Linked DNA regions of Lonchura striata. The protein of the gene in region 1 binds, or shares a complex with, the protein of each later gene. Links are inferred from orthologs where the notes say so. Each region holds a gene or a part of one and is shown on either strand. Other genes may lie near its edges.

Region 1 (7,916 bases):
AGGACTTTCCAATGTACCTAATTTTTCCTGATGAGCCTACAGGATTTGACACAAGGAAGAGATTAACTGGACACCGAGAACTGAACAGAAAATCAAGAAATCCAAGAAAAAGACCCACAGTGTACAGGCCAGCTGCCTGAGGTTATGCAAAAATGCTTGAAGATGGGCCATTGCAGAAACAAAAATCATCATTTTCCCCATTATCTGCTCTAGGATTTCTCATTAACAGATCTGCAGAGTTCTGTCATTTAAAGTCCAAGGCAAGGCAAGCTATCTTTGCAGAAGATAAGAGGGCGGGTAACCTTTGCTCAAGCTGCAGGTTCCAGCACACTCTGAAGGGGTTTCAGCTTGCCTTTTAGAGGGTGTTACCTTGCTCTCGAGGTTCATGTTATACAACAGCTCATATTGAGGTTAATAGAGGAAAAAAGAATTCTTGTTGTGCATGCTTAAACTGCATTATTTGGAGTAGAAGATTTTTGGAACTACACAGAGAGTTTTTTTCCTAGCAGTCACCGTCACCATCAAAACCAGCAAGTAATTTTAACTGGCTAAATAAAGGTTACTTCCTGCTACCAAGACTGGAGATTCCATTAATACACCTCTTCTGGTAGCATCTACAATAGACACTGAAGCCATTTTCCTAAACTGACCTTTATCCAATGGAGTGTGTGACTGAAGCTCAGACTGCATCACAAATGCTGCCACTGGCCACTCACAGAGAATCCGCTGCCTTCAGCTTCAAATCAGGCTCCATCTGCAATGAAACCATGTAGAAAATGGTTTATTGGCTGATTCCACCTTGTGTGCACACAATAACAAAAAACTATTCTTTAGAAAAATTGTGAAATTAATTTGCCTTGCAAAATTTCTTATGCTTTGTGTGGAGCCATTTGTCCTATTACCCTAAGGTGTCTGGGCTCTGTGACAAACTCATGGCTTGAGGCTGGTAGAGACCTTTCAAAGATATTAACAGCTACACCCTGTAGCTGTACAAAGTACAGTCATTCGTGCATCTTTCCTATCACCATCAATTGTCAAATGAAAATCATATTGCAAGTGTATATCAGAACACATGGGGAAAACCCAGCACACGTTCCAGAGGGATTCTGTAAGCTTGCCAAAAAGCAGTGCTACCACAGAGCCCGGCACCTGCCAAGGAAGGCTCAGAGAATCTCAAAGAATCGGTCTGGAACGAGAATCGTGCCCTTCACCCCGACAAGCAGAGAGACAGAGAGGTTAAGTGATTTGCCCAAGGCCATTGGGTAAGTCACTGACAGAGCCAGGGTTGGGTTGCAGAAGCTCCTGGCACACGTCCTGCATTCAATTACAGCTGCACAAAGCATCTCCTTTAAAAGAGAACTGGAAAAGCCCTCGGCAGGAAGAACAGCAGAACCCCTCGCATCTGAAACATCTGAAACAACAACCAACCGCCTTTCCACATTGAAGAGCAGGCAGCACTTCGTGCTCTCGGCCCTCTAACAACAGCCACACCAACAAGAGAGCGGAGAAATAAATCCCAGCTCATTTTAAAATGGCTCCACTGCAAGTGCTTTTGGAATTCACTATGCCAAACTCAAAAGCAAAGGTCCAGAACATTTACACGCTGTCTTATATGGCAGAATTAAGTGAGAACAGTTTAGAAGTTACTGAAAATAATCTCTACGATAGCTACAAATTAACACAGAGACAAACAGAGCCTTGGGACAGGTACAAAAGCAACCAGACTAAGGTGACCACCAGTGCAAAAGCTGACAAGGAAAACATCAAAAACAGCCAGACACTACTCGTCTTCTAAACCAGGCTTTGAGGACAACGACAAATGAAACCCCACGACCAAACAGAAACCTGAGCAAGCCTCATCCAGCACAGCCACTAACAGGATGTTAATCCAGGGACTCTCACCAGCAGCAGCAGCCACGCAGGTGGGGACTGCTCAAGGGCCAGGCTGCCACCCCAAGTCCTACGGTCCCGGCTCTCCACAGCCAAACACCCCGGCTGTTACTCATTGCCAGCACTGGTCCCTGCCAGAGCTGTTTGGCCTCTTCGGTTTCAAACCGCTCCTGCTGACACCCGAGCCAGCAGTGCAATGCTCCATTAGCTGCTCCATTCAGCACAGCTGCATCCGACCTCCAAGGACGGGATGCTATTTAAGCTATAAGCACGAGCTAGCAGCACCGAGACACCAATTTTGTTTTGTTTTCCAAGCAAGTCACTGACCGCACAAGTAACTTGCCCAGTATATTCTACTGCAGAGTTACTGTTCCTTAATGCAGAAAGCTATTGCTGCTCTGATGACTGCATAAACACCGACCAATGAGTAATCACTCGCAGCCCTGAAGGCTGTTCTCATCGTGCATAGGCATGGGCGGCGGGGGAAAGCCGGGAGTTGGGCAAGCAGCCCGGGGCCACGAGTCAGTGCCCGGGGGGCTCGGGGGGACAGGAGATAGCCGAGCTGCCTTACCTCGCCTTCCAGCAACCTCCTGCTCTTTCTTTAAACTTCAGAGCGGAGAGACTCTGCGCTAAGTTCGACCATCAGCGGCCGCATATCCCGCGGGTGGGAGCGAGGGGGACGCCGATTCCCGCGGGGTCCCGCCGGGCTCTAAACCCTCCGAAACAACGCGTCGGGGCTCCCGCTCCGAGCCGGCGATATGCTGGGAAGGGAAGAGAAAAGAAGGGAAGGCGTTCCGGGTGCGCCCGAGGTCAGCTCCGGCCGCACCTGTGCGGCGGGGCGGGCCGGGACAGAGCCGGCCCTGAGCCCCGGCCCGCACCGAGCGCGGCACCGGCGGAGGTGGCGCCGGCCGGCCCCGGTGGCGATGGACACATCGTGCCACCGCCCCGCGGCTACGGGCAGCCCCTGCCCCGCAGGAGCCCCCGGCCTCACCTGTGCCCGCGGGTTCCCGCTGGCTCGCTCAGCGCCTCCGGAGCCCCGCGCCCGCCCCGGCTGCCTGCGAGCCGCCGCCAGACCGGCCGGACGGGTTCCCCCGGTTCTCCGGAGCAGGCGAGGGGCCGCAAGGCAGCAAGGGAGTAGGGCAGCAGGGGAGGGGCCGCCACGGCCGGCCCCCCGCCCGGCCCGGCCCCCCGCCCGGCCCCCGGCCCGGCCCGGCCCGGCCCGGCCGCCGCTCCCGCCGCTCTTGGCACCCGCGGGAGATGCTGCCGTGGGGGCCGGAGGCCGTTCTGGCACCCGCGGGACGTGCCGAGCTGCGGATCCTGGAGGAACCCTGCTCTGGTGAAGCTCTGGTGATAGCTGGGACCTCCCGCCTGGCGTTGTTCTAAATTACAGGATTGCTTTATCGCTTATTTTGAGAGCTTTGGAAGGGTATAGCATTTTAAACTTTTGGCCTTTTAAAAGCTCCAAACTGACTCCTGGTTTCCAAATCCTTTTGAGGAAAGACTGGAGACTTGGAGGATGCACGAGAGTGATATTCTTAACCGATGGTTTTGCTTATTAATAAGCAGATTAATTAACAGATAAAGTTATTTATCTTTATATATATTTCTATATATATATTTAGGGATGACAGTAGTGCTGTTCTGCCATATGCACATTTGTTGACAAGTGATGCAATTTAGGGCAAGTGGAATGCAGATACAGTTGCTGATTTGATTAAGTATAAAAATCTGGAAAATTCTGTCTCTTAAAGTGATGATGGGCTGCTGCACTGTACTAAAAGCGACCTTTGTTTTGGACTGGCAGGTATTGTAGAGATTACTTGGTTGCTTTTTCAACAGCAACAATATTCAATTTTCCTGTGCCAGAAAACTCTTGTTCCAACACACTTGGTTTTCCTGGACCAAAGATGTGATGCTGAGTTCCAGAGCTATGTCTTTCAGCACCTTTCTGTTTTTCTGCCTGCCTCAAATTCCTCACACCAGAATAAAACCAAAGTTAATTAAAATCAGGAACATTTTGGCTGAACAAAGTAGCAGAGGTTCCTTGTGCTTTTGACAATTCCTGCTCTGGGCAGGACATTCATTCCTGTCCTGGGCTGAACATTTGGCTTTGAGTTCAGTATTCACAAGGTTGCTGCATGCAAAGCCTGGTGTGTGGGACACACTGTCAGGAAGGAGATTACTAGAGATAAAAGGGCCCCTTAACAGTGACTAATGGCCCAGCCCAAATATTAGTTTTACACTTACGTCCTACAGATCCGTGTCTGAGGGAAACAGCAGCTGTTCCCTGCACTGGGGCCATGAGGAGGAGCATCCGCCGCTGCCCCTCTCAGATCCTGCTCTTGGTCACTTCCAGCAGGTATTTCCAGTTCTGCTTCAGGACTTTTCTCCTTCATCCTCTCCTTTATTCCTCAGTCTCATCTTTCACTCGTGCTCCTTCTCTCCAAAACAGCAACATGCCCTAGTAAAAAATACACTCCTTTCTGTCCCACTGCTCCTCCTCTCCTTCCCAGCCTCTATTCCTGTTTGTCTTATTTTGTCAGGGTTTGGGACACCACTGTTGTACATATCAGTAATTCTGTATTTAAGCAGCTCTGAACACACCTATTTATTCACATTCTTATTTGATTCATTCTCTTAATATGAAGAAACTGGGAAATAATGCAGATAGTCTTCCTAAGCAATCCTCTCCCTGTTCATCTTTCCATGGTTTTCTCTATCAATTAATCCAAACGGGGGGGAAAGAGTTTAATTCTCTATACCTTTCAGCTAATCTGGAATCAAAAGTAATTTAGATGGTAATTTTGAAAATTATTAATTTGAGGAAAGGGCAGATGCTGCAACTTGTACGGTTTGTAGGCAGGAAGTAAATGGTGGCAATTCTTCATGCTGAAAGAATTGTGCCTTTCTATGTCAAAACGTGGAGCGTTTCTTCTTTTTCCTTATTTCCTCCCCCATTTAAGTGAAAAACTTTCAGACAAAATTGATAGAGATCTCCCTAGGCTAAAGGCCTGTTTCAGTGTCAAGAAGGCTGAGCCCAGATCTTTTGGGAGTTTCAGTTTCCTAACATCGATATCTAGGAGAGAAGGAACCAACAAATCAATAGCAGCCACAGGTCCAGAGATAGCCCTTGGCAGAGGGATACCTGTGCCTTCGTGCCTCCTCATGCAGCAATGTGATTTCAGATGGAACACTGTTCACTGAATCAATTAAAGGGGTGGGTGCATGTTGTGCCAGAACCTTTGAAATTCTCCTAAGAACAGGAACATTACCAGGAGACTCGTGTGTTTGCGTACAGGTTTCTCCAGGGAGCATTTCTCTGCCCAGGTACTTTCCTGCCGCAAGTTTGGCACTTGCTGGAGAGAGCTCAGCTTTAAATCAGGCTCCATTCCAACTGAATTGTTAATCACCACAGTTGGAGTTAGTGCAGCCCAGCAGAGAATTCCACAAAGATAGAGCAGTGCCTCATTATTCCCTGGTTAAGGGATCCTCTCGTGCTTAGAGACGTACAGAAATCCTAAGGCAAATTTCATGGCGAGGACGTGGAGGTGTGAAATTTTTCCTACTCCAGCTATTCAAAAAATATTTCCTGCGCATTGCTCTTTCAGGCTGCGCTCCATCAAATTCATGGATTTTATACAAGTCCATGTTTCTGTAAAACCTCTCCTCCAAGCATGGCAGGGATGTTTCCCATGTGGAGAACAGCTCTTTTCCCCAAGTTGTGAATTCAGGGGCTGACTGACACAGAATGGGGCCCTTGACTCCATCTGGATCCAAGTCTCTTTTTCCTGAGCAGCTCCGGCGTTACTACTTGCTTCTGCCAACAGATGGGGAGCCACACCGCTGAATTCCGGCTTGAGCTCCGGGAACGGCACGGACTGAGCTGCTGCCTCCCGGCTTTGCTGCTCTTCCTGAAGGAGCACCTTTGGCTTTATGCTTTAAAAGCGGTAGAGCCACACGCTGTCACTCAGGATTAGTTTAGGAAGCAGGAGGGAATGGAGCTCCTGGGATCTGGGAAACGACAAATGCTGCAGCGTACAGTGATGCATTGTTTTCATTTTGTTTAGTTTAGTTTTGCTTTTTAGGTGTTTCGTTTGTTTGGTTTTTTTTTTTTTTTTCCAGTAGAAAGTTTATTTTTTTTGTTATTTTTCTTTTTTTTCTTCCTATGAGTCTGTTTTGCCACAAATCAAAATTTTGGCTTTTCTGGCTGTCACTCTTCCTTGCTGCATCTTGTCTTCTGTGATTTGTGATGTCTTTCCTTAAGGGAGCATTCTTTTTGCTTAGCTTTCACCCAGTGTATCCCATTGTTCAGCTCTGGGCAATTGTTTTGGGATATTATTGATTTTATGACTTGCATTGTTGTCTGCACAAAACCAGACCCATTTGGGGCAATTTGCTGCACTCATACTTTCTGAGGGAAGGGAATGTGTGTTGGCTTGACTAGAGCAGCAACAAAACCCTGCTATTATTTTATGTGGTTTAAAGAGGGAATCCATCTCATGTTTCCCTGGAGGCACTTCTGTGATCAGGAATTACTACAACATTACTCAGAGCCCTTTGTGCAGGTGTTTACTTTGGGATGTTATCCCAGATAGTGACATCGCTGTTCTCCTGACTGGCTGGCATGCAAAAAAAGATGGGAGAAACCAGTCTGCCAGGCAATTCTAGCTGTAATTCCATGAAAATTCACAGTAGTAGGGGTATCCTCCAGGAGAGAGCACGGTACATAGCAATAATATTACTTACAAGTTCAAAGCATTGTACAAAGATTAAATCATCTCTGAAGCAACTCCAAGTGATATGTCCTAGTGAAGTGATTCCACTGAAATTCTGCTCACACAGCAGCAGGCAAGAAATGCAATTAAGGAGAAGAAAGTAAGAACACCAAGACAAATTGTGGCTGCAGGGTATGCATCCAGATGCTCCTAATGGATTATTCTGCCCTACAATTGCTCTCTCACCACATGGGCTTCGCGTCTGGGCAGGGAAGCAGCGGATAAAAGGAATGTTAGGTTATGTGGATTGTTATTTTTACTCGATTGCAGGAGCAGTTTGCAGGAGGACACCCAGCTCTGTGCACAGGTTTCCTGCAATGGTTCCCTGCACACAGGAACAGGTGAGGAGCCACTCGAGAGCAGGCAGGTCCTGCCATGGGACCTCGCAGTTCCCCTGGGACTGGCAAGGCAGCTGTCCCCAGGATCCACAGGGTTTCTCTGCCATGTAGCAGCATCCCTCTGCTTTACCAGAGGCATGTGAAAGTGAGTCACTTTGTTTGTTTTTGAGGGAAGTTGCTGCTTTTAGCCACCTCACAATGTCATTCGATGCTATGTGTTCATGACTGGGCCTGCACCAATAGCCATGGATGTATATATAGATATACATGTATGTATGTATGTGTGTGTGTGTATATATATATATATATATATATATATATATATATATATTTTAGAGGCATTCTAATAAAGTGGCCACATACATACATATAACTTATCACAGCATCCTTTTATCTTTTTTTTCTTTTCCTTGGCTTAGAGCTCCCATGGTTCTTTTGCAGGCTCCATATACACAGGAAAAAGAAATTCCTTCGGTCTTTACACCAAGGAGGGTGCCTTATGGAAGTTGAAATTCTGTTCCCTATAGATGTGGCTTAAAGCCTGAAATAAGGGGGAAATATTCCAGAAAAGGAATCACTGAGCAGAGCTCATGTGGAATTATGGCAAAGATTGATTTGAAACCGAACGAGGGCAAGGAGTGGCTGCCCTCTCCTCTGACTTTGGGAGTTGGACTTTGCTGGTCCCTGTGGATCCCTTCCAACTCAGGATATGAGGATTTATGATTCTATTCAAGACTTAAAAATTAATATGCAGAGAAGCATGTGCTAACTAGAAATTCACTCACTCACTCATCCTACTTTAAGCCCCCACTACTGCTTAAAATGGCTGATTAATGATGTTAGATAGTGATAGCATTCATTTGATTGAACTCCCAAAGTAAGCAGAGTGGGAATGCCTAAGCACTGGATTGCT
Region 2 (7,751 bases), on another chromosome or scaffold:
CACCCAAATGAACTATTTTAACAACAGACTCAAGATAAATGACTGATTATACCCTTTTGAAGCCAGAGAAAATTTAACAAAAACCCGACAGATCTAGTCACCTAAACTGTTGGAAATCTTCCACTTGAATTCAAGACATCTTGTAAAGGAAATCAATGGAAGAGGTACATTTTGCTGCTCAGTCCTTGCACCTGTAGAAGAACAGCACAGTCCATAGAGATACTAATGGCTACCACACCTTATTTCAGGAAAGAGTGACTTGAACATAAATAGGTATTCAGGGTCCCAAATTATACATCCTATTCAATTCCAATACACTAAGTTTACAGATTTGAGAGGTATGCTATTGCCTTGGAGGCAGGTGTAAATAACCACCTGTGCTTCCTCCCCCAATTACATTTCTAAAAAAGCTTAGTCATTGCATGTAGCTTCTGGATGTCTTCTCTCCCACAGCTAAACTTACAGCTGTTTGTGAATAACTTTTGGAGCTTATAACAAAAGGTTATAACAAAAGCCAGCATTCTAAGCAGGGATGTATGTCATCTAAGCATATATGTTATAGCAGTGTCTTAAACTGCATCCCTCAGCAGTGTTTAGAGCCCAGATGTTGGTCCTAATTGGTAAAATGCTTTATATGTGTTTTGTGGCTGCACCTCTTTTGATTTAAATTTGCTTTTTTTTTTTTTTTTAATTCAGCTGCCTTTAGGATGATAATCTCACTTGTAGAATGCCGCTGGATGAGCACTTCATAAAACATGTAAGAGGATCAGGCAACAGAATACAAGTTTCCCCCTTCTGACTTACCACAGACTCCAAAAGTCCCTTCTGTCCTCACAAAAGCCGAGAATTTTTTGATAATTTCAAACGGTGAAAGAGTAATTCCATATAGTAAAACAAATTAAATTCTTTTCAGTCTTGAGTATCTTGAGATTAGAGAGGACTGAAGATACTGATCTGAAGATTAGAGAGGACCTGCCAGCTGTCTCCACTACAAATGGTTAGTGCTGCTGTACATGCACAGCCTGACTGTGTAGTGGAGCATTGGTAATGCTCCCAGCTCACCTACGACTTTTATACCAAATGTTAGGTGGGAACAGCTGATTTTTGGGTTCTACTGGAACTTACCAGGAGTACCTGACTGAGCTGCTTAAGCAACAACAGTATATAAAAATCCTTTATAAGCACACAGCAGCAATATAGGCACAAAATCATGTATGTTTATGGACTCATGAAACTGATGCACTTCTTATTCACACAGATCAACGCAGATTAAGTTATAATGGAAAAAAGATACATTTGTCCAATTACAATTATCTAAAACTTCATACTGCTTTACTATAGAAATGACTATTTCAAATGCAGTTGTCAACAAAAATCAGAGTTAGCATGGATATTTTTATACTTCTCTCCCCAGAGTCTTGAAAACCCTTAAATATGCTATAACATGACAATTTAAAAACTTATGTGCCCATGACAAGTAGGCCATGTTTTCTGAAGCACCTGTGCCAATTTTCAGATGTTCAGCATAACCTGAACACTTGTTATAAGAAACAACTATTTTCTAAAAAATAGGCTTACATACAAATTAGGATGCTGTAAAATACACTTCAGCTTTTGGGGTTTTCCCTTCTGCTTTTCTCCCTAACTGTAGATCCTAACATAAAAGGGGGTAAAATTGGTTTCATTATAACCTTATTTGCACTTTAAGAGAAATATGGAAACACCATCCATTCCCTCCCTCATGATTTCTTTAGCTAACTGGGCTTCAGTGACAACTTGCCAGCCAAGCTACTGTCTTAAACACTGCTTATTTGAAAGTGGCAGCTTGGTCTAGTAACTAGAGTGATTTAATGCACAAAAATTCATACTCTCCAATTAAAAAACCACGAAGAACAACCACACACCTTCTTCCCTACAATCAATCTCAGTCATATTAGCTCACCAAAACTAATAATAGCTGTCAATTGCTTCTCAAGGCTGTCCACCCCTAAGCCTTGTGAGTTATTTCCTTTCAACACAAACCAGTTCTGTTATCAGCTGGATCTATCTGTGATATACAGTTCAGTTTTCAGCTAAGGCTCAGCAACTTTTCACAACAGTAGCATGGCTGGTTATCAAATGTAAATCAGATAAACTCAGACTCGAGTTTGTGTTATTTAGAAAAAGCCATACTCTTCAATCCTGGTCTCCCATACAGCACCAGCAACATTAAATCATCGGTGCAGGTAAGAATAACAGCAACAGATTCACCACAGAGCTTTGTCCTGAAAATACAATTACTTTGGAGCATTTGAAGACAAATAATAGACAACCACAGACTATCCCACGGATGATGCGCTTACTATCGGTATTGCTGAGGAAAAAAACGTGCACTGAGCTGTGTCGATGGAATGCAGGCAGTAACTTCTCTGGAAGTTCCCTCGGGAGCACTGACAGAACTCACGGAAGAGCTATGCGGAGATGGCTGTCAGCTCGGTGCCTGCCCAGGGTAATTAATGGGCGCGCTGCTGACGAGCACAGACCTTGGGCGGACCGGAGCCGCCCGAGGGCCGCGTCCGCTCCGCACAGAACCCGCCCGGGCCCCGCCGCAGGCCGGGAGGGGACGGAGGCGACCGCACCTCCCAGAGCCGCAGGCGGCCTCCCGGCAGGCGAGCCCCGCTATCCCAAAGCCCCGGCCCGGCACACCGCCCCGCGCACCTCGTACTCGCGGATGTTGTTCGAAGTGACGAAGATGCCGATGCCGATGGGGATGAAGATGAGGCCGATGATGAAGAAGGCCGGCAGCACCGTGCCCGCTGTCAGGATGGGCTGCCAAGCCGGCAGCCGCTGCTGCTTGAAAGCGGTATTGTCAGGCTTGCGGGTCTTCACGGCGCCGCCGCCGCCCACCGCGCCGCCGCCCGGCACGCCGACGCCGCCCGAGGGGTGCCCGTCCGCCTCCTCCTTGGCGCTGTAGTTCACCGCCATGGCGCCGCCGCCGCCGCCGCCGACACGTGACCGGGGGCACCGCGCCTGCGCACTCGGCCGCGGCAGCCGCGGGACGGGGCACGGCGGCGCGCGGGCGGTGACGCGCCACGGCCGCGCGCTTGCGCAGATGATGGCGGCTGGGGGTCATGGAGGCTCGGAGTGGTCGAGATGGGAAGAGACCCGCTAGATCATCCGGTCCGGTCATCCGCCCGGCACTGCCACTGTGACCCCTAAACCGCTAAGCCACGTCACCCAGTGCCAGATCCAGTCACCTCTTGAACACGTCCAGGGATGGTGACTACCACCTTCCTGGGCAACCTGTTCCAATGACCACCGTAATAGTGAATATTTTTTTTTAATATCTGATTTGCATCTCCCCTGTTTCAGCTAAGGACATTTCCTGTTGTCCTCACTGCAGGCACGGCAGACCAGACCAGTCCCACCTCAACCCAACCTTTCCTCAGGGAGTTGTAGAGAGAATAATGTCCTCCCTCAAACCCTCCTTTTCTTCAGGCTGAACACCCAGCCTCCTCAGCTGCTCCTCACAGGACGTGTTCTATGGGCTCCTCACAGAACGTGTTCTATGTGCTGGCCAGGCAGGCTCTGCTCCGTGAGGATGAGGATTCCAGACTTTGGGCAGGGGTCCTGGCACCTCGTGCCCAAGGTTGGGGTAAGACCTGGGACCGCAGCCTTGGCATCCCCCACTCAGTGCTCCAGGAGCACTGCCTTTCATCCTCCCTGTTGGCATGTGCTGACCCAAGGCAGTGTCCTTTGGGTCAAAAACTGAGAAGTCAGCTTCGGCTTCCTAGCCTCATAAATAGGATTAGTGCCACTGTAGAGATGTAATAATGCATGAGAATTTTGAGAGCTGCTGTCAATGGAGCTGTGTGTGCCGACCACCACTTTTGGGAGTGGTTCTGCTCTGTCCTCCTGCTCTGCTGTCGGTGTGAGTGAATCAGTGCAGTGAATACAGAACCACAGAGCAGGTAGGGCTGGAAGGGACCACAGAGAGTCATCCGGTCCAACTCCCCTGCTCAGAGTCATCCCAGAGCACATGGCACAGGACTGCATCCAGATGTTTTTTGAATATCTCCAGTCAGGGAGACTGCAGCCTCTCTGAGAAATCTCTTCTAGTGCTCAGTCACCCACACACTGAGGAAGTTCTTCCTCGTATTCTGGTGGAACTTTCTATGCATCAGTTTCTGCCTGGTGCCTCTTGTTCTGTTCATTCGCACCACTGAGAAGAGTCTGGCTCACTCTGACTCGACACCCACCCTTTAGATACTTATACATATGGATGTTGTTGTTTCCCCTTGTGAGCTAATCTGACTGTGCTAAACAGAATCACAGAATCAATCAGGCTGGGAAAGACGTCTGAGGTCATTGAGCCCACCCTTTGACTGAACACCACTGTGCCAACTACACCATGACACTTGCTACCATTTACAGTCTGTCCTTTAACACCTCCAGGAACAGGGATTCCACCACCCCTCCAGGGCCGTCTGTTTCAGTGGTTAAAACCCTTTCATGGAGAAGCAGTCACCTTGTGGAACGCAATGTGTGAGTATGTACTTGCATCCCAGAAGACCTGCTTTAGCAGGCATTGCTCAAGCTAATGCAACCTTGGAATTTCATGTTTCTCACTTCACTGGCACTTCTGCATTAAAGTCTGTTTTGTGAGGACTTCCTATGCAGTCACTCTAGAGTGCTGCCAAATCCACATTCAGCAAATATTTATGTATTTACTTGATTTCAAGGAAAAAAGTAAGTAGAACTATTTAATTAAATAAGTTTATAATGTAGTCCAATCTGAAGACTTTTTAGCTGGCTATGGAACAGTTGATGTAAAATAAATGCCTTTTAGTTCTCTGGAGCAGCGAGAGCATCAGCCAAGACCACTGGGGGGAGCACCTGACTTGTGCAAATGTATTTCACTATAGAGGCACAAAAGGCCTCCTTGCCATAGTGTAGGGAATTTGGGTATATAGATAAATATCGAAAAGATAAGTATTAATTTGGTGCCTAAATAATTATATAGACTACAAAAGTTAATTATATTCCTTGTGGAATCTATGCTAAAACTGTATTTCATTCCAAATTAATCTTTTCCACTGTCTTGTGGACCCAAACTTTTGCTGCCATTCCCCCTGGATAAGCCCATTGTCTCTAGTACCATGCTTTCCTTATTATCTTCTGTTTGCAATTATTACCTTCAGCTATAGTAATTTTTATTCCCACAGTGTCACAGAGGATCCAGAGAGATGCAACCTGGGATCTCAAGGGAACAAGAAAGCTTGTAAACCTGTGGTGAGAGATGGCAAGAAATTTCCCTAGCAGAAGGAAAATCAAGGGGCGATGTTGGGAAGCTGGGACCTGATGCTCTCAGGTGCAAGAGGACTGGCAAGAAAGGGTGTGTTAAATTTGTCTAATTATGTTTCACAACAAGACAAGAAGAAAACTCACAGGCTGTAGCATTTATCTCTAGAAATCTAAGTATTTGAGATTTTTTTTTCATGGATTGAAACTCTGTATTTTATCACTATAATTAAACTACACAGGTCTTTCAGTCCTCTTTATATGGTAAGAGATCTCTAAGGGAAAAGTAGATCTTTCACTGGTTTTCTATTGCTTAAAAGCTTCTGATATCTATAGCATATATATATATATATATATATATATATAGCATCTATATTTCACATTGTCTTAGTGTGTAAGCTCTTCCCAATTACCTCCATTAAAATTACAGTAGTTGTAGAAATTAATCACATCTTTAGTCTATATTAATAGATTTCTTCCTGAGTCTCCCCAGAATACAGACTAATTATGTGGCTAATGCTCTTTTTTTACATATTTATCTTAGATTCATATCCAAGTTAGGTAATGTAAAAAATTGACCAGGAACATAAATGCAAGATGAAATCACCAGTCTCCTACTCCAAAGTGTTGTAGTTCATCAAAAATATTTTAAAATCCAAATTATTTCGATACACCATGATTGTATGTATGCTTTAAACAAAGCTTTATTTTGGGAATCTTAAAAGCTTAATATAAGTGAAAAACCATAAATGTTTATGTATTTGTTTATGAATAATAAACTTACACTCATCATTAATTGGCTTTATATTAAAATTTAGACAAGGAAAAATATTTTCTACTTTGACTGGCACCTTTTAAATCTAGACTCAATTTTGGAATACCATTTTACTTGTGTCCTACTCATATTTAAAAGCTGAAGTTTATTTCAGGCATGTCACCGTTACTTTCAAATAACCAGGAATTTCAGTGTGGCTGAGCTTAGTGTAGATCTTAACATGGATAGGTTTCAATTCCCAAGTAATGTTTTGAAAATAGAAGATCTGGGTCACTACAATGTTCATTCTGCTGTGCAGTAAACTGAAATGTGGCACACACTAAACTTTATTCACCTCATCTGTATTGTTCTCCAAAAGCTTGAATTTTTCTCAGCGTGCAGTAAAATATGATCTACAAACACAGCTATGTTATTGGCATATATTGTCTGTTGTACAAAAAAAAACCAAACCACTCCTTAAAAAACATGGTGACATGGTGTACCAGCTAAGTATAAGCTATACCAACAAAATTTCTCTTCCACCAGGATAAGCAGCACTTAATTTTGATTCGTCTCTATAGCTGTATTAGTAAACTCTTCACAATGGAGATCTACTCCACAAAAGTTCATACAGGTCCCAGAATATCCTGCTTCTCTAGAGTGTCAGCATTTGCTGCAGAGCTCACATGTAAAAGGAGAAACAGCTCCCGTGGCTCCCATGAAGACCAAATTGACTATGCAGCCATGTGATATTCCGACTTCAAAGATGCACCAACCTAACCATCCCAGTGGGATGCTGCATTAATGCAGTCTTTATGGCATCTCACAGCACATCTCCTGCAAACAACACTTTTCCTTTCCAAAAAAATAATTTATCCCAGTAGCTTCTGCAGTTAAAAATCTGCAGTATTTTAAGTATGTGCCAATGACTTAGAATAAAAATCATTGGTTATGAAAGGTAAAAGAAAAAAAGACCCTGCCTGGATTGCATGTAGCTTTATTTATCATGCATTCAAAAATCACCCTAAGTATAGCTGCCACAGAACTCTCAGGATGCTATTTGAGAAGCTACAGCCACCAGTGTAAAAGGGGCCCCTGAGCGCACGGCAGAGTGCCTGGTGTCTAGTCCAGGACCAAAGATTCTGACAGTACCAGTCAAACATCTCTGCCTGTGCTGTGAAAGCACAAGCTTAGAAACAATTAAGTCATGAAGGGCTTGGTGATTGATCCATCTCTGTATCTTAACTTCTGAGCCTACAAGAAAGATGGGGAGAGTGGCATGGGCATGTTGTGACAGGACAAGGAGGAATGGCTTCAAACTGAAAGGCAGTAGGTTTACATTAGATACTGGGAAGAAATTCTTCACTTTGAGGGTTGTGAGACACTGGAACAAAATACCCAGAGAAGCTGTTGAGCAGCTTTGCTGGAAGTGTTCAAGGCCAGGTTGGATGGAGCTTTGAGCAACTTGATCTAGTGGAAGGCATTCCTGCCCATGGCAGGGGGACTGGAACTACATGATCTTTAAGGGCCTTCCAACCCAAACCATTCTGTGATTCTATGAATCAGTTTCACCCTGTACTTCACTGTGACACTGTATTGAGACACCAGTCAGAAAAAGGAACTTCCTAATCCATATACTGTCCCCATAAACAAATATATAGGTGAGTGCTGCCAGCCTTAAGAAACTGGAGCTGAAATGCAAAAACCTACATTTACA

Evidence for each region.
Region 2: the proteins of ATP8B1 (region 1) and TMEM30A are in contact, whole or in part, in a cryo-EM structure (PDB 7VGI), measured with the Homo sapiens proteins. The link is inferred for Lonchura striata from reciprocal best matches to the Homo sapiens genes ATP8B1 and TMEM30A. Residues at the interface, in NP_001361314.1 of Homo sapiens: Thr138, His359, Trp362, Glu363, Val366, Ser369, Ser370, Trp371, Tyr372, Leu373, Tyr374, Asp375, Gly376, Arg384, Ile388, Phe418, Asn420, Trp421, Asp422, Leu423, Tyr426, Lys430, Asp431, Thr432, Pro433, His939, Trp942, Arg946, Tyr968, Phe971; in NP_060717.1 of Homo sapiens: Lys24, Thr25, Arg26, Arg27, Pro28, Asn30, Phe33, Lys34, Gln35, Gln36, Arg37, Leu38, Pro39, Ala40, Trp41, Gln42, Pro43, Ile44, Leu45, Thr46, Ala47, Val50, Phe54, Ile57, Phe61, Ile64, Ile68, Ile75, Phe119, Tyr121.

The regions. Positions count from the first base shown.
Region 1 is NC_134642.1:511,128-519,043, reverse strand, and holds the start of ATP8B1 (phospholipid-transporting ATPase IC), read right to left. Parts: upstream 3,001-7,916; 5' UTR 2,882-3,000; intron 2,652-2,881; 5' UTR 2,462-2,651; intron 755-2,461; 5' UTR 651-754; intron 362-650; exon of another isoform or gene 43-361; intron 1-42. UniProt on the Homo sapiens protein: Catalytic component of a P4-ATPase flippase complex which catalyzes the hydrolysis of ATP coupled to the transport of phospholipids, in particular phosphatidylcholines (PC), from the outer to the inner leaflet of the plasma membrane.
Region 2 is NC_134605.1:83,206,028-83,213,778, reverse strand, and holds the start of TMEM30A (cell cycle control protein 50A), read right to left. Parts: upstream 3,001-7,751; 5' UTR 2,965-3,000; coding exon 2,698-2,964; intron 1-2,697. UniProt on the Homo sapiens protein: Accessory component of a P4-ATPase flippase complex which catalyzes the hydrolysis of ATP coupled to the transport of aminophospholipids from the outer to the inner leaflet of various membranes and ensures the maintenance of asymmetric distribution of phospholipids.